Linked DNA regions of Ovis aries. Each later gene encodes a partner of the first gene's protein in a complex. Links are inferred from orthologs where the notes say so. Each region holds a gene or a part of one and is shown on either strand. Other genes may lie near its edges.

Region 1 (9,988 bases):
AATCATTGAATGCTTACTCCCAATTAACCTCTACTCTTTTTAATTTAAACTGCTTCAGTAGGCTGAGATTAGTAATTGTTTCTTTTTTAGGTTAGCAGCAATTTTACTGAAAGTAATCAAATAACTCAAGAAATGTTATCAAGTCCAATCTTGTTCTCCTTCCTAAGTGCTCATGGCAAGATGAAAACTCATCAAAAGGAGGAAAATCCAAGTAAGTAATTAATACTTTTTGCTAAATGACCTAGATGAAAGACTAAACCATAAGGCTAGTGCACTGTATAGTGAAAACTTGATAAAACAGAGCAAGAATAACAACAGAAGCACACATTCTTGACCGCCCTCTTTCTTTCTTTAGATTCTTACAAGACAAGCTATAATGCAAAGATCCTAGTCTTGTACTAGAAATAATTAAAACCTATTTTTTTAAAAAAGCTTAAATATTATGTCATTCCTTCCCATGTCTAGGACTCCTCTGAATTTTTCAAATGTGAAAGCCAATACATGAAGAAAATGACTGTGCATTATTTTACGGAATGCAACAGAGTTTGCTGGAGCATGGAAACCACACATAAAGGATTGTTTCCACAACAAAAAGAATGGAATGTCAGGGTAAGGAGATATATGCCATTCTGAAAAAGAACAAATGTACTTTTCCCCACTTTTCCCAGTAGAGGAATCAAGGGATCATGTAACTCAGCAAAAGTTTCTCATTTCTATTAAAATGTACTTTAGATATTCAACATACACACACAAGGGTATGTATATGAATATCCACATGTGTATTGATCTACAGATCTCAATATATTTATTTATATCTTTGTATATAAATCATGTAGGTTTCCATGATATTAGTAATTTTTCTTGGCCATCAGTTTAACCTCTTGGAACTAAAATTAGTCCTCCCCGCCCCCCCACCAATCCATTTTAGTTTCATTTTTATTTAAGTTTAAAAAACTTGATAGTAAACAAAGTTTTAACTAACAGTCTGCAAAGGAACTCAGCTTCATAGCCACATCATCATTCAAGGGCACACCAAGGGAAAGATGGCTTTGCGGAATGCTTTGTGCAAGGTGCCCCGTTTGGGTCCCCAGGGCCCTGTGCCTCACCTGCAGATGTGGTCTGCAGGGACGTATGCCTCTCACACTTCCACTCGCCACGGCCGTTGCCGGTGCAGATGCATTGGAGCAGGTTCCCCCGGTTGTCCTTCTTGCTCCAGGTATCCCCAATTCTATAGGATGTCCTAGTGTCCTGATCGTTGCATCTGTCTGTGGCAGAAAGGAAGCATTAAAACATGTAAATCAGTTTGAGCTTGGCAAGGGCTTGATGCAAACCTAAAATAACAATAGAGTTGTTTCTAATAAGGACCTAGTGTACAGCACAGGGAACTCCACTCAGTACTCTGTAATAAGTCTGTAATGGTGGTTTAGTCGCTAAGTTGCGTCCAGCTCTTGCGACCCCAAGGACTGTAGCCTGCCAGGCTCTTCTGTCCATGGGATTCTCCAAGCAAGAATAATAGAGGGGACAGCCATACCCTTCTCCAATCTGCCCAAACCAGGAATCGAACCTGCGTCTTCTGCATTGCAGGCAGATTCTTTCGACTGAGCTAAATGATCTAAATAAATGATCTAAAACTGATTCACTTTGCTGTACCCCCCAAACTAACACAATACTGTTAACTATACTCCAAGAAGAAGTTTAAAAAAAGAAAAAGGAGAATACAGTGCTTCATGTTTGGTAAGCTGTTTTTGGATGATACCTTTATATTCAGCTGTGGTGCCATGGGTGGTAAACTTCTGAAAGATGTGATTGCATTTAAAACAGTGTGAAGGAAGCTATACGATGTAGTCTAATTCCACTCATCTATTTGCCAGAATGCCATTTTTCACTCATTAAATTTTCATTTAGTCATTCAGTTCATTAAATTTAAATCTTTCATTCATTATATTTTTTCACATTGTTTATTTGACTAAATTCATCCCCTCGCTTTCTAGTCTTCCCTCTGTATCCTCTGGCTCTCCTGGCTTTGAGTCATGACTGTTCACAACCTGCCTTATCATAAGGGATTTTCTTTAGAAAACTAGAAACAATAGGGAGGCAAGTAGGTCTCATAGGATCTCAACCAACCGCCCCAAAGGAGCTATTAAAAGAAAGCAGCATCTGTTTTTTCATTTGTTATGTAAAACAATTCAAGGCACCACCAACTTCTCTGACTAAAATATTCTCTCCCCTGGTCCCACCCCACCCCCTACCAAACACAAACCTATTTAACATTACTAATAAAATGGCATCTTTTGAATTGCTCATGGTGTTAACTCTTTGATGGGAAAGTGAGATTATTAATATAAAATAATGTTTGTTTAATGTTCATTTAGTCACGTCTGACTCTTGTGACCCTATGGGCTGTAGCCCACTAGGCTCCTCTGTCCATGGGATTAGACAGACAAGAAAATAAAATGATAATTTGTAACTAAATTACCATCAGCCTATGATTATCTGGCAAATAAACTGTTTCAATTATAATCCAGCTTTGCCCATATGCTGCAATGTGATAGAAAGGATTTGATTGGTTTGTGAAACAGAACTACACTGGGTTAGATAAAAAATAATTAGTTGATGTTAAGTTCAGACAAATACAGACACATATTGATCTCCCACCACAGCAGAAGTCTGAATAAAGATAGCATTGCTGGTGACACTTTTTCCCAAATCTCCAACCAAGTGTTGTCTTCCCCTGAACCTCCATAGTACTATTTCAGTATCTGTCTCAAAGTGTTTAATTCTGTGCTTTGTAGAAGATGATATATATAAGCCTTTCTCATCTACTTACTAAGTTCTCTTTGACGAGTTGGCTAATGTCCAGTTCATTTTTGCATCCCTACACCATCCTGAATGAAGTAGGGACTTAAAGAAATTCATGGAAGAAACGACTTTTCTTTGAGAAGCTTTTCCCAACTTGTTATTAGAAGAGCTTTAAATAATAGATAAGAGTTTGAGTAAAACATCTAACTTGTCTTAAACTAAAACACTGCCACCGAGGTCTTGGAAGTCTGATAATCATAATAAAATGTTAAATGTAAGAGAACTGGCAAGATACTCAAAAACATTTAGTTTAAATTGCTATCACTATTTAAAAGAGATTATTTTTTGTTTGAAAGAATTCAAATTTGGATGGTGAACATGATGAGATGGTTAAAACTTCCAGCTAGATAAGACATGTTCAAAATATTTAATTTGATTTTAAACGTATAACACTGATAGTTGATAGCTGTATTGCTTCCACAAACTTTATAGTTTGACACTTCAAAAAAGGAGCATTGAATCCCTAAGGCAAAAAGTAAGGCCTCGGGGCAATCTTAGAAGGAGCTACAGAGATACCAGTGGTTCAGAAACTTTCAAAGTTTAGCTTCTTCACAGCACTTAAAAACCTACAGAGACACTGTCCTTGACTTCAGAATTGGGGTTAAACATAATTTAACCTATGGGATAAGTACCTTTTATTTTCATCAATTTTGCTAATGTTATGTGCCTTACTTAAATGTCAAGCATAGATGGAAACCCAAAACTTTAGAGCTTTGCTCCTCTCTGTGTCAAGAGCACTCATATGCCCAAAGATGCATGTGCCTGTTATTTTAAAGATTTCCTTGCTACTTAGAAAATATCTCAGTGATCACTTAGATGAAACACTGGCAACTCATCTTCAGGTCTTCGATACATTTGGCACTGAAATGAACATCAAGTTTTTTCTCAGTAGCTGATAACCTAAGACCTTACTGAAATAAGCTGTTTTATTTTAATTTAGTCTTCTTTGAAGAAGTAGAATAAGTTGGTTACAAAATTTTTCTTGACATCCAAAGGTTAGGATGTTGATGGAATGGATGTTGTACGTGATATCATACGACAATTCTCTCTAGGAATCCAGAAAACAATGCCTGACTTCATCTTTAACATACAGATCTAAAACGTACTTCTGGAGGTGCAAGTGATACGTCCACTGCCTTCTCCCAGGCAAGTACAGTCCACCATCATCCAGCCCTGATAAGGCTTTTCCCAGGTCTCCCCGACAACGTAGGAAGTACCAGCAGCCTGATCAAAACATTTCTCAGCTGTGGGGAAATTGGAAGGAAAAACAGAAAGAAAAAGAAAGAAGTTATTTCAAACTGTGCTGTCTCCCTGTAATTTAAAGTATATTGTGTAAGCAAAAACCTAACCACATTTTTTTAAGTGGTACTCTGTTCAAATAGAAAGGCACGCCCTGTAACTAAGCACAGAGCAAGTAACCAAAGTGAAAGGAAGCTCTAGCCAAGTTGGCAGGCAGAAATTCTGTTCTCCTAACAAGTACACGGGTTGTACATCTTCAGCTAGCACCGTTCCTCACACCAGTATTTTGAGCAAAAAGGATCTATGTGCCTCCTGTGGATCTATGAATCTCTTGCATAGTGAGACTAAATATGCAAAATTCCAATCTTAATTAAAAATGACCAATTATGAATGCCTGCATAAAATGACAAGAAAGCTATTTAAAATCTGGATTTCTGTAAAAATAGAGGCAACACAAAGAAAATTAAAACCTCTGTATTAGAGATCAATCAGAATAAAATTTATAGCCAGAAACTCTTAGATTTCTATCTAGAGTTCAGCTAAACATTGACACCAAAGGAAACAGCAATTTTTGACAAAAAATGAGCAAGAGATGATAGAACACACACCACATACAAACACGAGGTGTTTCTATCTGCCGCGTTCCAATAAAGAAAGATGTTAAAAGTCTCATTTTTTTTTCCTTTAAAAAACTTACATCTTGACCAAGGAGAAATCTGAGAACAGATCTTAGAGAAAACAAATGACTTCTTCCTAAATCTTTCAACTCTATCTTAAGCTTTGAAAAAAAATTAAGACTTCTATTGATACGTGTATAGTCAGTCATGGCCGACTTTTTGCCAGCCCATGCACTGTATGCAGTCTACCAGCATTCTCTGTTTCCAGAATTTTCCAGGCAAGGATAATGGATACTGTTTGAATTGCCGTTTCCTACTTCCAGATCCAGGAACGGAACCCAGATCTCTTGCATCTCCTACACTGTCATGCGGATTCTTTACCAGGGCGCCACCTGGGAATCCCTAAGACTTCTATACATGGTCGGGAATTTGAACCGATTCCTTAAAGAAGACTATGGATTACACAACATTTCATTATTTTAAATAGAATTCTCAGTCTCTTATCTTTTTTATTGGAAGACAGGTATCTTGTCATGTCAATTTTGACTCAACCCAACATTTTGACTGTGTATCCCACCCCCATTTATCCCCAAGTCACACACCTATGGGCTTGCAGGTCCATTCTCCTTTCCCATTACCCAGACACACACACTCTAACATGTAACCACCAGTCTCGTGTGGTCTCCTCCAGGTGTCACCAATCTTGTAGGACTGCCCCCCTTCATGGCAGCGGTCTGTTCAAGATAAAAAGCAAATGTTACAGACAGTGGGACAGAAAATAGTTTTAAAGCAGAAAAAGTCTCATATTCCAACCCCTTTGGCTGGCCAAAGAGAGCAGCTTTCCCATCGGGGACAGGGGAAAAGTTAACAGGTCTGGTCATTTGGGGTCCTTCAGTTGAATGTCTGGTTTAAGCACAATGGGAAACCACAGAGGAAATCTGAATAGCAAAGAAAGGAGTCATAAATCCTGGATCCCCAGAGAGATCACAGGAAATTGAGTTCTAAAGCAGAAAAGAAAGGCTGCCAGGCATGGCCTCCACACACACATAGTGGGTTTAGCTGAGACTAATTCAATGCAAAAGGCACACTAGACCTAGAATTCCAGCTTTCAGGATGTGGAGAGTCCGTACTTCACCCTAGGATAGAAATGTCTTTTTGATGGAAAGCAAATAGATGTATACATCGCAAGTGTGGAAATCTGGTTAAACACAAGGGCACATACAAAGGTTAAACTGTCCACTGTGTAAACAGTATGTAAACACTATAGAACACTGACTCTTAACATATACCGATAATCTTGGATAAATTCTAACATTAAATATAGGACAGGCTGATTGGGCTTATTCACAAGAGACTGATTTGTCTTTTCCAGAAGGCTGTACATCATGCTTTTTGGCCGGGTGCCACTTACTTCCCTGACCAGAGATTGAACCTCCACCCCTGCAGTGGAAGCTCAGAGTCTTTACCACTAGACCGCCAGGGAAGTCTGATTTGTCTTTTAGACTGAGCCTTTAAGAGACTTATACAACGATGGATTAAAAAACACTAAGTGCTGTGTTAATAGAAGCTATTGGTAACCCAATGAATCATACTGGAAAGTTTGACTTAGCTAAACTAGAATTGCTGAGAGTAAGTCCAGATCCCTAAGTACCTTGGAAAATTCATTCCACATTATTCCTAGGAATAGAGAGCTCTGCTTCCTGGTTATAAACTACTGGTTACAAAGAAACCAGACTGTTTCTGTGAGATCCAAGCAGTGTGTACATTGCTAACAAGACTAGCAGAGCACACAACGGCTAATTCATTCTTCGTGACCATCTTTCCGATCACTGCGGATCACCACATGAGCAATCTGGCTTGAAGATGCCCAGATAACATAAAATGGGCAACTCCTCTAAGAATGGGATGGAACCCAAGAGATTTGCTTGGTTAGGCTACGGACATATGTGTACACACACACACACACACACACACACACACACACTCTCTCTCTCTCATAAATGCAAACAGACTGAACACTGCCTCCATCTGTGCTCAGAGCCACCTTTCAGAGGCACAGGAATCAGCTGTGTGGCCATAGAAGGGTGTCTGCTCACCTGGGATAAATCCCCACACTAGGAATATCCAGTCATGGATAACAGAAAATGACAGAGATGGGAATGGAAAAGTTCACACTGTGTTATCTCAGCGTTCCTGGACAGAGGCCGTTCTTACTTGCAATGGTGCAGCTTATTCTCCCTCGCCCAGCCCCGATGCAGGTACAGTCCCAGATCATGGAGTCCTTCGGGCGCTCGTAAGTGTCGCCCACCCGGTAGGTGTTCCCAGTGTACTTGTCAAAGCAAGTCTCTTCAGCTGAGGGAAGAAGGAAAGTCCATGTGAACCTTATATAGGGAAAAACTTTTCTATTCCACTACTCTCATCCAAGGGAAAACCTACTTTTCTATTCTGTGAGTAGCAAGGGACAAGTGGAAAGTTTTTAAAACCTGAAGTAGCAGATCTCAATTTTACCCTAGGGTCTAACAAAGCCTCAGTTTTCAACCTTTGACAAGTTTTCTAATTTTCTGGTGATGAATTTCCATTGGAAAGGATTCTCAGGCGCTTAGGAAAAAAGCTATAAAGCACAACCTTAGAACCAGCTAGATTGTGAAGGAAGGACTTTAGATTCCTCTCTCTGGCTCAGAAAATCAAACCAAGGTCCACTTAAAAATAAACAGTCTGAAGAGCTCCCACCCCCACCCCAGCACTGGCCCTTGTTAATCCTACTATTTCCATTTTAGCCTCATCAGTGGTTCTGCAGGAGTTGCCATAATTTATAAGAAATAGATCAAGGGTCATAAAGGAATGAGAACTTTGAAGTGGTCAGTGGTTTTACGTTGAAATGCAGCTGACAAATCGTTTGACAATGTACTGCCCAAAGTGCTTTCTGCCCCATACTCTTACAGTCTAAGATTTGGAATTACTTTCTAATAAATTAGAATTTTATAAGCAATTCTTTCTTTTTGAAGGGAAAAAGAACACATATCATTCATGTTTTGGGAAAGTAAAACAGAAAGAAGACCCTAGAAACTACTTTGGGATATATTTGTTATTTTGTTTGAAAAGTAAAAAGAACAATATAATTTGAAAAGCAAATATAAACAGTTATTAAACATTGTTAAAGATAATTTTATTAGGGAAATGAGATATATAATTTTACTACTAATCCTAAATTTAATCAACAAGCACTACTTCTCTATCTATTAGATTCTAATAACTATAATAATTAGAAGATACTAAGAACTAGGCAGGCTCCCCATCACTTACGTTCAGGCTTGCTCTCACAATTAAAGCCCCGGCTCCCTCCATAACAGGTACAGACCAAGGCACTGCCCAGGTAGGTGCGCTCCCACTGTTGGTTTATCTGATAGTGCTTTCCATTGTCATAACAACCAGCTGTAAGAAATGAAGAAAAAAGTCATTAAATTTGGATCCTTCCTTTTTCCAAAGTATGGAATTTTCTTGCACAACTAAACTGATAAGCCTAAGCAACAAACGAAGGGGGAAAAAGTTAATCATCAAAGCATCAGAAGAATTAAAAGCAACTAGATATCTAACGAGTTAACCACACATTTGTACATGTAGATATTTAGGTATTCCTTTTGTTTTTCTTTTGACTTTAGTTAAATGTTATACAATGATGTCATTTCCATCTGGCCAGGGGTCTGCACCACAGGAATGGAAACATTCTGAAAAGCAGATAACTGGGAATCACGTTTTAAAACGTGCAAGGAATTTCAGCGCTCTTTGGGGGTAATAAGTCAAGAAGGGTAATGCTAAGCAGTTTCCATTAGCCAAGGAAAAGGGAGGGTGTGTCTTCGAGAAACTGGAAGAGGAATTCCAATCTCTGTTCTTGGAGAAGCATCCTGAGAAAGCATTTTGAAGCAATTACATCTCATTCAAAGTTGGAACAGCATAATCATTCAGCTACTCTCCCCTCATCCCCATTTTGACAGTATTTAACCGATTACTTAGTAACAAAGAAAATAAGCGTAAGGACCACACTAATCCCAAAAATAAAAGTTTAAAGGGGTGCATCATTTTTCTCTTTAAAGACGAGTTCTGGTTAATTCAAAGGAGGATGACATGAGTCGGTACCAGCCCTGCTGGACATCGCTGAGCTCCGCCTTCCAACGCCTTATCTTACCTAAGCCCACAAAACCAGCTTGCTCAAAGCCAGTCTTTTATGTCCCCCTCTCATGTAGGAGTACACACACTCCACGCGCGCGCGCGCACAAAACTTCAGTCACAACTTTGGTTGGCTTTCTGGCCCGGTCCTGAGGCAGCCTGTTCCAGCCCACGGTCAGTACTCACGTTTGCTCTGACTGACAGTCAGCGGGGACTGGGGCTGAACGATCTGCTGCGCCTGTCTCCTGCTCTTCGAGGCTCCCGCGGAGGGTACCGCTGTCCCCAGGGACAGGACGGCCAGCAGCAGCAGCAGCCCGGGCCCCGGACCCCCGAGCATCTTGAGACGGTGAGGCAACTTGCCACTTAAGTTTGGCTCCCTTCGCAACCTGCGGGCGGAGTCCCCTTCCAGTACCGCCTGGAGAGTCAGGGCTGGAGGATGGGGAAAGGGAAGGGTAGAGGACGGAGGGAAGGAGAGGACGAAAGAAGCTGTGGCTGCAGGTCCCCTCGCCCCCGCTCGCGATTAGGGGTCCCCCTCTTCCCCGTGCAAAGCGCAGCCGGCGCGAGCGGCCGAGCCCAGAGAACCAGGGTTTATATGGGACGGTCCCTTCCCGCCCCCCGCGAGGCCCCGGGCACCGGGGAGGAGGGACCGGCCGGACCCCCTCCCACCCTCCTCCGGCCGCAGCCGCCGCCGACCGCGCGCCCATTGGCCCGGGCTCCGGGTGACGTCAGGGGAACTGTGGGTTCGCCTTGAACAAAAGAGATGCTGATCGCCCGCCAGGATTGGGACAAGAGAACTTTTTTCGGTTTCCTTTGCGGTCGTCAAACTTTTGGGGGGCAGAAGGGGAGGGATGGGAAGCGTCTGGAAATGGGTAGACTGGGAGGAAAGGGAGGGGCTGGAGTGCCGTGTAGCCAAGGGGTCGCAAGTCCATCCTCCCTCCCCACCCCCGCTTCCCTTTTTAAATATTTTATTGGGGTGAGGCGGAGGGGGGGAGAGTTCAGATTGCGTCACCGATGGGGGTGGGGGGAAGAAACCTCCGCTCACTGGAGTGTACTTCGACGGGGAGGAAAAACCATAAAGTAGCCACCACCTTGCAGCGGTAGGAATGTAG
Region 2 (9,537 bases), on another chromosome or scaffold:
TCCTTCTTGCCCTCTTACTTCTCCCACTCCTGTTGTGTCTCCCGTGCAGGCCCCTCCTCCCCTTCCCGACCCTGAACCCTTAGAATCTTCAAGGCTCCATCTGAGCCCTGAATCTCTCCTCCTTCCATACTTTCTCTGGAAACAGCTCCTTCCACATCATCACCCAGTGGAGGCGGGATCCCACATTTGTCTCTCCTCTAGATTCTAGACTCAGATACTAAAGGCTTCCCTCCGTGCAGCTGACTGAATGCCTCATAGGTACCTAACACTCAGCATGGACAAACTTAATCCATTATCTTCCCTCTAAACCTGGAAAAGATGAAGAGATGAAAGGAAACCTCAGACCAAGGGACTTGGGTTGAGGCTGAGGCATGGAAAGAGCGGAGCTGTGCTGTGCCTGGTTGCTAAGGACCAAAGGAACCAGACAGTATGATGCTGAAGAAAGGGAAGAAGAGAGACTCCTCCACTCCTGGGATCTGTTCCCAGACTCTGACTGCAGGGATCCTCAACAGGAACCCTGTTGGGAACATGATGGGAACCCATGATGGGAAAACACAGAGCCCAAGGTCTTCACTGCAGCCTCACTCTTAGACCTCTTCCCTTCCTCTGTCCTCAACCCCTTTGCCAGGGACCCTCTCTTCATCACCAGTCTGGGGCAGAAGAGGATTCTGGAAGGTCAGATCAGGGAAGGAGGGCAGCAAAACCTCAGCAGGACACCAGGTAGCTAGAAAGGGCTGACCAAACTGCCCACCAGGTGCACCAGCCCCCGGGCTGCTTTGCTGTTTTACCCCACACCAGCAGTCCAGAGCAGGGCTTGAGGGGCTCCTCAGGAGGACGGAGAGCGGGGAGCGCAAGCACACTGAGGAAGGGCACTTGAGGAAATTTGGAAAGGGAGCGAACTCAGAGCTCAGCACTTTCTTCCTTCTGTTTTTCTTCTTGAGGAATTTTTTTCCCTGACTGCTGATGACTTTACCATTTCTAAGGGGTCGGGGGGGGAGGAGATTTTGGCTTTTGCTCCCCCCACTCCAAATGCCAGACAAAGTCTTACATTCCACAAGAAGCCAGAGCTTCAGAGTTTCCTAAAGATGAGGTGGCGTCTCCTCCCCTCTCCGGCCTCAGCTCCCTCCCTCTTTCCTCCCCCCCACCCACAAGTCTCAAGCCCTCAGTTCTGGCCAAGGAGGCCCAGGCAGTCTGGGAGGAGACCCCAAGCACATTCTTCCTCTCATTGTCATGCTGCAGAAATTAGAGACACATCTTCGGGCTGGGCACCTGCCAAGCAGCGTTTCAAGCTGAAAAGTGGCAGAGGAGGCCCTGGGCCTCAGCTCTCTGCCACGTGTAAAGGATGCTTGGGAAACTTCTGCCTACAGCCCCTGGGATGGAGGTCTGAAACTGGACATTGGAGCAGCGGCTGTCACACACCATACTCACAAAACCAACCCCCAATACCAAGGTTCCCTAAATATTCTTCAGAACCCCAGGCTCGTGATGTAGCAACTCCCAACCTACATCTCTAAGTCTTCATCTCTCCTGTAAGGTGGTCGAGGGCCAGCCTGAACAGGGACCTAGAGGAGAGAGAACTGTAGGTAGGAGTCCTCTGGCTGCAAAAACTCAGCAAGCAGGGAGGTGGAAGGTCACAGCAACCCTCACTTCTAGCCTGTAACTCTCCTCCCCAAACAGCCACTCCAGAGGGGTGACTACTCTGAGGGGCAGGACTCCTCATTTCTCCTGTTAGGGAGGGGGTGCTCCTTGTCCCTGAGCCACGCTGGAGGGGGCAGGAACTGCCATCTCAGCACCTCAGCCCCCAGCCCTGCCCTGCACTAGCTGGCACGATGGGGGCAGATCCTGGGCCACAAGTCGCTGCCACATGGTGGGGATAATTGATGAAGGCCCATCCCTCCATTGCTGTCTCCAGCCCTGCCTCTCTGGAAACTCTATATTTTCCCTTTAATTATAGCCCCTGCAGTCTCCCTCTGCGGCCCCACCCGCACCGCTCATCCTGGCTGCCCACGGCCAGCCGGCCAGCCGACGTGGCTCCCTCCCCTTCTGTTCTCTTGGTCTTTTTTTTCCTTTGCCTTCGTTGCACAAAACCAGCTGGGGGAGGGCGTGGAGAGGGGCGGGGAGGGGGGAGGCAATGGAATCTTGGATGGTTTGGGGGAGGCGGGACTCCCCGCTTCCACGTTTGCAGCTCTGGAGTGATGGGGGTGGGGAGCCGCACAGGAGGGATTGGAGTTGACAGGGCACTGCAAAGCGACCCTCTTTGACTTCCCTTGGGCCCACAGATTTTGGCAGGATCAGGAACCTGGATAGATTGGAGTTGGGGTAGAGTACTGGTGGGAGGTTGGGACATAGAGAAGGCAGGACGCTGGCTTCTAGAGTCATCTCCTAATATAGCCTGTTGTTCTTGGGGTCTCCATCGCTTTTCAGAGTGTAGATGATTCTCTCCTGGTTCCAGGGACAAAGAGTGATGCCCTGGGTTTCCAGGAAAGAGGTGAGGCAGAGAGGAACGTCCTCTAAAATAATGTCACTCACCTGTAATTCCACCTCAGACCTCCAAGGCAAGTCTTCCCCCAGACACCCCAATTCTCATGTGTCCCCAACCCTGAATCCAGGTACAGACAGAGACAGAGCTTTATGTGGCCTCCGGAAGGAGCACCCTCTCTCTTGTCAAGTGCTCTCCAATACAGTTCTCTCCAGTTTGACTGTGCTGGGTAGAAGGGTGTCTAAACAGGCCGTGGCCATGGCCGCGACAGACCCTAACACAAGACCCTTTCTTAAGTCACCAGTGGCCACGGCCCTTCCGTGCAAACTTACTGCCCCTGGGGTGGAAAAATCCTAGCAATTTTCCACCACCACCCTGCTGCCCCATCACTCAATACCAAAGCTTCCTTCTGGAGAGACTGCATACTCAAATTTTTCACCCAGTGCCTCAGCAACCTCCCTCACCCCAACTCTTTCAATCATGCTAGGGTTTAGGGGAGAGCATTTGAGTCTATCCTGGAGCCTCAGGCATGGCAGAACTGATATCGTCAAAACAAAAACCCACCCTAAGGATCTGATTCTTAATGTCTATAAATGAATCTATCTTGTTCCCCAAATATTCCTAAGTTCCATACCCCAGCCACACCAGAAGACACCCCAAAACAGGCACATCTTTTTAAATTCTCTGGTTCTCCTGCTTTAAAGTGGTCCCCAGCTGCCTCTCCATACCCATCCCGGAGCTCTTGCTCTGGGTGTCAGAGGGCGAACAAGGCAGGGCGAGCAGGACCCTCTCCCAATTACCCCGAGTCCTTCCATCTTTGAAAGCCTCCCTAACCAGCTCCCCAATTCCAGCCCCCTGCTTGAGACTGGGGGTCCTAGAAAGAAAGCCGAAGAGGCGCCCCTACCCACTATTTAGCCGACAGTATGTGGAGGACCTAGCCGCACCCCAGCGGCAGCATCTCTGGCCCAGACTGAACTGGGGGGCTGGGGAGGCAGAGCTGCGAAGGGGGGAGATGTGCGGTGGACTCCCTTTCCTTCCCTTCCCTCCTCCTCCCCCTCTCGGTTCCGACTCCCAAATTGGGGGCCGGGCCAGGCAACTCTGATTGGCTGGGGGACGGGCAGCCGGCTCCCCCTCTCCCGGGGGCAGGGTTCCTCCCCGCTCTCCATCAGGATGGTATAAAAGGGGCCCGGGCCGGTGGTCGGAGCAGACGGGAGTTTCTCCTCGGGGTCGGAGCAGGAGGCACGCGGAGTGTGAGGCCACGCATGAGCGGACGCTAACCCCCACCCCAGCCGCAAAGAGTCTACATGTCTAGGGTCTAGACATGTTCAGCTTTGTGGACCTCCGGCTCCTGCTCCTCTTAGCGGCCACCGCCCTCCTGACGCACGGCCAAGAGGAGGGCCAGGAAGAAGGCCAAGAAGAAGACAGTAAGTCCCAAACTCTTGGGAGTGTAGGGCTGCTTGCTCTCCTGCCCTGCGCTCGGTCCCTGGGGTCTGCGACTTAAACTGAGGCTCGGGATGCTCCGGAGGCTCAGGGATGGAAGGAAGATGGTGAGGGCTCTTGGTCGGTGCCCTCTCTGCGACGGGGTGTTGATGAAGGCCCCCCAGGAGTAAGAGGGGAGGATGCTGCACGGCAAGAATTGGCGTAGGAGGAGTTCTGAGCGCGCACTGTGAAGTACAGCGGGAGAAATAGGGTCTGGGCACCGGTTTGGGGGAAAGTACGTCGAAGATGGGATGGAGGCGCCGAGTTGGGAAATTGGAGTCCAAGATGTAACAGTGATCAGGAAGGCTATGGGATGATTCATCAGGAAAGACTGTTGGCCCTCTCTGCGGGCTAGCAGTGTTCCTGGGGCCGCGGAGGTCTTGGACTGAGGGGGGAGGGGGCGCAGAGAGTGGGCGGGTTGAATGATGAGAAACTTTGGCGCGGACTTGGCCACGCAGGGTCTTTGCGCCCTCTGCTGATCTACACTGGGCAGTGCGCGTCCTTATCCAGCGCTTCCCCGCGCAGGAGCTGGAGCGGGAAGACCGGGATGGTTGCTGGGTGTGGACCCCACCTCTAGATCTGGAAAATAAAGCTGGAGATGGGATAGCCCCTGTCTCTAAAAGAAATAGCTAGTTTGGGGAAATTGCTTAGTGTCGCCCTAGTGGCCGTCTCGGTAGAAGATTGCGGTGGGCGTGGTTAACTAACCACTTACTGTTGCGGACTTTCTGGTTCTTTGACTAAGAAGTGACCCGGAGCACCGGCTGGCTTTGGGAGACGGGGGTTGTCCCTGAGCTAGGCCTTTTGAGATGTCTGGGCGCCGGAGTCGGGGCGTACCCTATTTTTACCGTACGTTTCAGGTCTCTGGGCGGGATCCCACGCCAATCAGCCCCACCCCATCCTCTTAGCCCCGCCCACGCCATCCCACCTGCCCCGGGAATGGGGCGGAATCTGGGTTGAACCTCCCATCTCTCCTCCCATTTTCCTCTGAGGTCTCCAACCAAGGTCACGCCCCGCAAGCCTGCCCTCGGGATGGGGCGCCTCTCTTCCCACTCCTCCATCCCCCGTCCCCGCCCCCACCCCCACCCAATGGCTTTTTATTTCACTTGGCTTCAGCGCCAATGGGCTGAGGTTACAGTTGGAAGCGACCCCGGCCTAAAGCTTTGTTTAAATTCCTGAGAACTGGAAAGAGTTATAGCTGTCCTGGCCAGGCGCCTCGGCGCTGTCACTGGCTCTGATGAGGAGCAGATGAGCGTTTAAGGATTTGGGGAAAGGAAAAACAAAAGGACAAAAAATGGAAAGGCGGGAAATGGAAAATCTAAATGTGCCTCTAAGACCGAAGGGAAGGGACGGTGGGGTTGGGGTGCCTGGAGCCCCGAGGTGAGGGACTCGCGCGCCGCTGACAGCCCCCATCTCCCCGTCTTGCCCCAGTCCCACCAGTCACCTGCGTACAGAACGGCCTCAGGTACCATGACCGAGACGTGTGGAAACCCGTGCCCTGCCAGATCTGCGTCTGCGACAACGGCAACGTGCTGTGCGATGACGTGATCTGCGACGAACTTAAGGACTGTCCTAACGCCAAAGTCCCCACGGACGAATGCTGCCCCGTCTGCCCCGAAGGCCAGGGTATAGCTCGGGGCCTGGGCCGGGGCGGGCGGGGGCTGGGGGATATAAGCGGGGACGCTCCTTAGCCCCTGTCAGGGGAGGCCTCTGTCTCTGGGAGCACCTGGAGCAAACCTTGCCTCTAAGTCCTGTCTCTCCCCACCCCCCCCAGAATCAACCACGGACCAAGAAACCACTGGAGTCGAGGTAATCCTCTGCCCCTTTGCCGTCGACTCTAGCCACACCCCGCCCCCCAGGACTCTTCACGGGTCGTCTCTAACCCGGTTCCTTTTGTTTCCTCTCCTGCAACCCCACAGGGACCCAAAGGAGACACTGGCCCCCGAGGCCCAAGGGTAAGCGGCGCCCTCTCGCGGCTGTCGGGGGAGGTGAGTGGGCATGGCTCCCGGCCTGCGCTCACCAGGCCTGCCCTTTCCCGCCGCAGGGACCCGCCGGCCCCCCTGGCCGAGATGGCATCCCTGGACAACCTGGACTTCCTGGACCCCCTGGACCCCCCGGACCTCCCGGACCCCCTGGCCTCGGAGGAGTAAGTGGAGAGTCGAGGCTTCTGTGGAAGGCCTTAGGAGCCAGCCCTGCCCCCCCCCCCCCCCACCCCCCCACTCCCGCTCCCGCCGCTGTTTTCGTTTGCTGGGTTTTGTTTTGTTTTGGCAGATGGCATACTTTGTTTTTTTGAAATAATGTCAAACTCATAGGGGAAGAGGGGGAGAAGAGTTGCAAGAATAATGCAAAGAAACTTTCCTATATCGTTCACAATTTGTTACATTTGCTTTATCAGTCTCCATGTACATGTAAAATTATTGGGGGGGTTTTCTCTGAACCATCTGAGAGTAATTTGCTGGTATTGTGTCCCTTTGCTCCTAAATACTTTACTGTGTATTTTCTAAGAGCTAAAACATTCTCTTACATGAGCATTACATAATGAGTACATTTTAGAAATTTAACGTTGATGTGATACTGTTATCTAATATGCAGTCCATATTCAAACCTCACCAGTGTTCTCCATAATGTCCTTTACACCATTTGTCCCCCCTGGTTCAAGATCCAGTCCAGGATTATGAATCACATTTTAATTATCATGTCTCTTCAGTTTCCTTTCACCTGGAACATTCCTCAGGCTTTCCTTGTCTTTCATGACACTGAACTGTTTTGCAAAAGCCAGTTGTTTTGTAGACTGTCTCTTAAATTGGGTTTGTTGGGTGTGTCTTCCTGATTAGATTCCAATGATACGTTTTGGGCAAGACTGTGCCACAGGTCGTGTAGCTGTACTGCATAGAGAATGTGATATCTGTCCCATAACTGGTGATATCTTCTGCCTTTCAACTCACTGCCCTGACCCTGTTTTCTCATGCACTCTCTCTTCCAGAACTTTGCTCCCCAGTTGTCTTACGGCTATGATGAGAAATCAACAGGAATTTCCGTGCCTGGTCCCATGGTGAGACATCAGCAGACGATGTAGAGGGCAGAAAAAGAGCAGACGGGCCAGTGAAGGCGCATAGGGTGACTTAGATAACTTGGGAGGTCAAGATGACTTTTGGGACCTCAGAATCCAGACAGAACATGAGGCAGGTGGGTGGGCCGAACAGGAACCATGGGAGATAAATTTTCCTACCGAGGCTTCACTCTGGCCTCTCTGTCTTTTCCTTCCATAGGGTCCTTCTGGTCCTCGTGGTCTCCCTGGCCCCCCTGGCGCACCTGTGAGTATCCAGGATGTCTACACCCCTTTGGGCTTTAGAGGGAGGATTGGCATGAGGGCAAGGAAAGTACTCAGAGATCTCTTGATGAGATGGAGGACATGTTGGCAAGGACCTGTCCTTCTAACCCTACCCCTCTCTTCTTGTCCTCCAGGGTCCCCAAGGTTTCCAAGGCCCCCCTGGTGAGCCTGGCGAGCCTGGAGCCTCAGTAAGTGACCCCTGATTTGCATTCTCTATGCAAATATACACCCCCTCTACAAATATATGGATTCTCCTATTGAAGGACCACCATCTGGAGTCTTTGTTACCTCCTTCTTCCAATCCTAGCCTTCCCCTTCTTTTCTCCTTATCCTGGTCATTCTAACATCCTCTCTTCCCGTCACCTCTAGGGTCCCATGGGTCCCCGTGGTCCCCCTGGCCCCCCTGGCAAGAACGGAGATGATGTAAGTAGCCCTGGTGAGGAGACACCATCTGACCCCCACCACCTGTCCATGTGTGGGCTCCTGCAATCTCTACCCTAGTTCCTCCACCACCTTTGGGAGTGACACCCAGAGAAAGACGGACATGTTCTCCCTGACGTACGGGACTGCCCTTGAATAGGGAGCTACCTGGGATGTTTCCCCGTCTTCCTAACAGACGTAGCTGTCCCTCCCCTCAACTCAGTCACCTTAAGTAGTCTCCAACTCTATCCTTGACATGAGCGGCTTCCCTAGGTGTAACCTCAGGTTTTCACTCCATGTGGTGAGATTAAGATGCTGGTGACAGAAATAAACAGAAATTCTTTGGAGGGAGGCAAAATTCACCAAGCGAGTGTTTCACAGTACATTTAAACTGAGATAGGATTTGGGGTCCCGAAGCCTGACTCTCAACAATCCCAAGAAAACCCAAGCCTCCCATTCTTTTCCAACTCTGGGGGCATGGGCATGATGGCCTTTTCTTTTTCTCTCAGGGTGAAGCTGGAAAGCCTGGTCGTCCTGGTGAGCGCGGGCCTCCCGGACCTCAGGTGAGCAGGATGGTGTGGCTGCCTCAGGCCTTGCTGCACTGGGGCTTCCTCTGGGAGCTGTGTCCACAGTGGAGTCTCCTAATGGCTCTGCCTTTGTCTTTTGCGTTCCTCTCCAGGGTGCTCGGGGATTGCCTGGAACAGCTGGCCTCCCTGGAATGAAGGGACACAGAGTGAGTCTCCTTTGTATCATCTAAGTTCCCAAAGTCCCAGTGTCATGTTCTAGTCCTTTCCCCAGAGGACCCTGGCATGCATCACGGTGGGTGGTAGCTACATAAGAAGTTCCAAGGGACAGAGAGTAAATGTCCAAGAGAACTTCCCTTCGTTGGGAAAGAAATCCCAATAAAGGGAGGGAGGGAGATCTTGGATCAGTTGGGGTTTAGTCTAGCTCAAACACAGGGGGATAGATGTGATGACCTCCTGAGGCTCCTTCTCTGGGCTGAGCAAGTGTCAGGGTGGTCGACAGTCTCCACAGGGTCTCACGCTGGCCCTCCCTCCTATCTTAGGGTTTCAGTGGTTTGGATGGTGCCAAGGGAGATGCTGGTCCTGCTGGCCCCAAGGTAAGATGCTGTGTGACGGACACGGTCATTCACCTCCTCCACAGTCCCACCTAGAACAGATTCCTTACTCCATTCTCTGCTCTGTAGGGTGAGCCTGGTAGCCCTGGTGAAAATGGAGCTCCTGGTCAGATGGTGAGTGTGTCCAGTTCTGGAAGGAAGGGAGGGAGCAGGCTGTAGGAGCAAGATGGGGGCTTGGGGAGAAGGGGGTGTCTTCCATCTCACTTGGCTTCTCTTGGTTTTGTTACCAGGGCCCCCGTGGTCTGCCTGGTGAGAGAGGTCGCCCTGGAGCCCCTGGCCCTGCTGTAAGTACTGGCCCTTTGGGGAACCCAGAGCTCTGGAAAGCGCTCCTTAGGAGCTAAGGGACCGAGCAGCGCTCAGTGAGTGTAACCGGGACTTCTGCTCTTCTGCAGGGTGCTCGAGGAAATGATGGTGCTACTGGTGCTGCTGGCCCCCCTGTGAGTACAGCCTTTAGACTCCGGTGCCTGGGACTGGGGCGGGGCCTCAGTGTCAGCTCTTGTGGCTGACATCAGGGCCAGGTGTCAACCCCAGGACCTCTTCTGTCCCAGGCTGTGACTTGCAGCTGCCATCTTCCTTCTTACTAACACTGCCCTTTTATTCACAGGGTCCCACTGGCCCCGCTGGTCCTCCTGGTTTCCCTGGTGCTGTGGGTGCTAAGGTGAGACCCCCACCCTCCAATGAGCAGAGCTCCCA

The links. Proteins that work in one complex are often made in the same cells at the same time.
Region 2: the proteins of FN1 (region 1) and COL1A1 are in contact, whole or in part, in a crystal structure (PDB 3GXE), measured with the Homo sapiens proteins. The link is inferred for Ovis aries from reciprocal best matches to the Homo sapiens genes FN1 and COL1A1. Residues at the interface, in NP_997647.2 of Homo sapiens: Asp516, Gln517, Lys533, His535, Glu537, His539, Leu541, Gly549, Arg550, Gly551, Arg552, Trp553, Lys554, Cys555, Pro557, Gln560, Phe569; in NP_000079.2 of Homo sapiens: Leu261, Pro262, Gly263, Met264, Lys265, Gly266, His267, Arg268.

Annotation. Positions count from the first base shown.
Region 1 is NC_056055.1:217,390,324-217,400,311, forward strand, and holds the start of FN1 (fibronectin), read right to left. Parts: upstream 9,445-9,988; 5' UTR 9,217-9,444; coding exon 9,066-9,216; intron 8,148-9,065; coding exon 8,019-8,147; intron 7,068-8,018; coding exon 6,930-7,067; intron 5,450-6,929; coding exon 5,318-5,449; intron 4,104-5,317; coding exon 3,966-4,103; intron 1,266-3,965; coding exon 1,107-1,265; intron 1-1,106. UniProt on the Homo sapiens protein: Fibronectins bind cell surfaces and various compounds including collagen, fibrin, heparin, DNA, and actin. Fibronectins are involved in cell adhesion, cell motility, opsonization, wound healing, and maintenance of cell shape.
Region 2 is NC_056064.1:36,187,434-36,196,970, forward strand, and holds the start of COL1A1 (collagen alpha-1(I) chain), read left to right. Parts: upstream 1-3,684; 5' UTR 3,685-3,800; coding exon 3,801-3,903; intron 3,904-5,386; coding exon 5,387-5,581; intron 5,582-5,729; coding exon 5,730-5,764; intron 5,765-5,874; coding exon 5,875-5,910; intron 5,911-5,999; coding exon 6,000-6,101; intron 6,102-6,938; coding exon 6,939-7,007; intron 7,008-7,224; coding exon 7,225-7,269; intron 7,270-7,420; coding exon 7,421-7,474; intron 7,475-7,655; coding exon 7,656-7,709; intron 7,710-8,215; coding exon 8,216-8,269; intron 8,270-8,385; coding exon 8,386-8,439; intron 8,440-8,772; coding exon 8,773-8,826; intron 8,827-8,913; coding exon 8,914-8,958; intron 8,959-9,074; coding exon 9,075-9,128; intron 9,129-9,236; coding exon 9,237-9,281; intron 9,282-9,448; coding exon 9,449-9,502; intron 9,503-9,537. UniProt on the Homo sapiens protein: Type I collagen is a member of group I collagen (fibrillar forming collagen).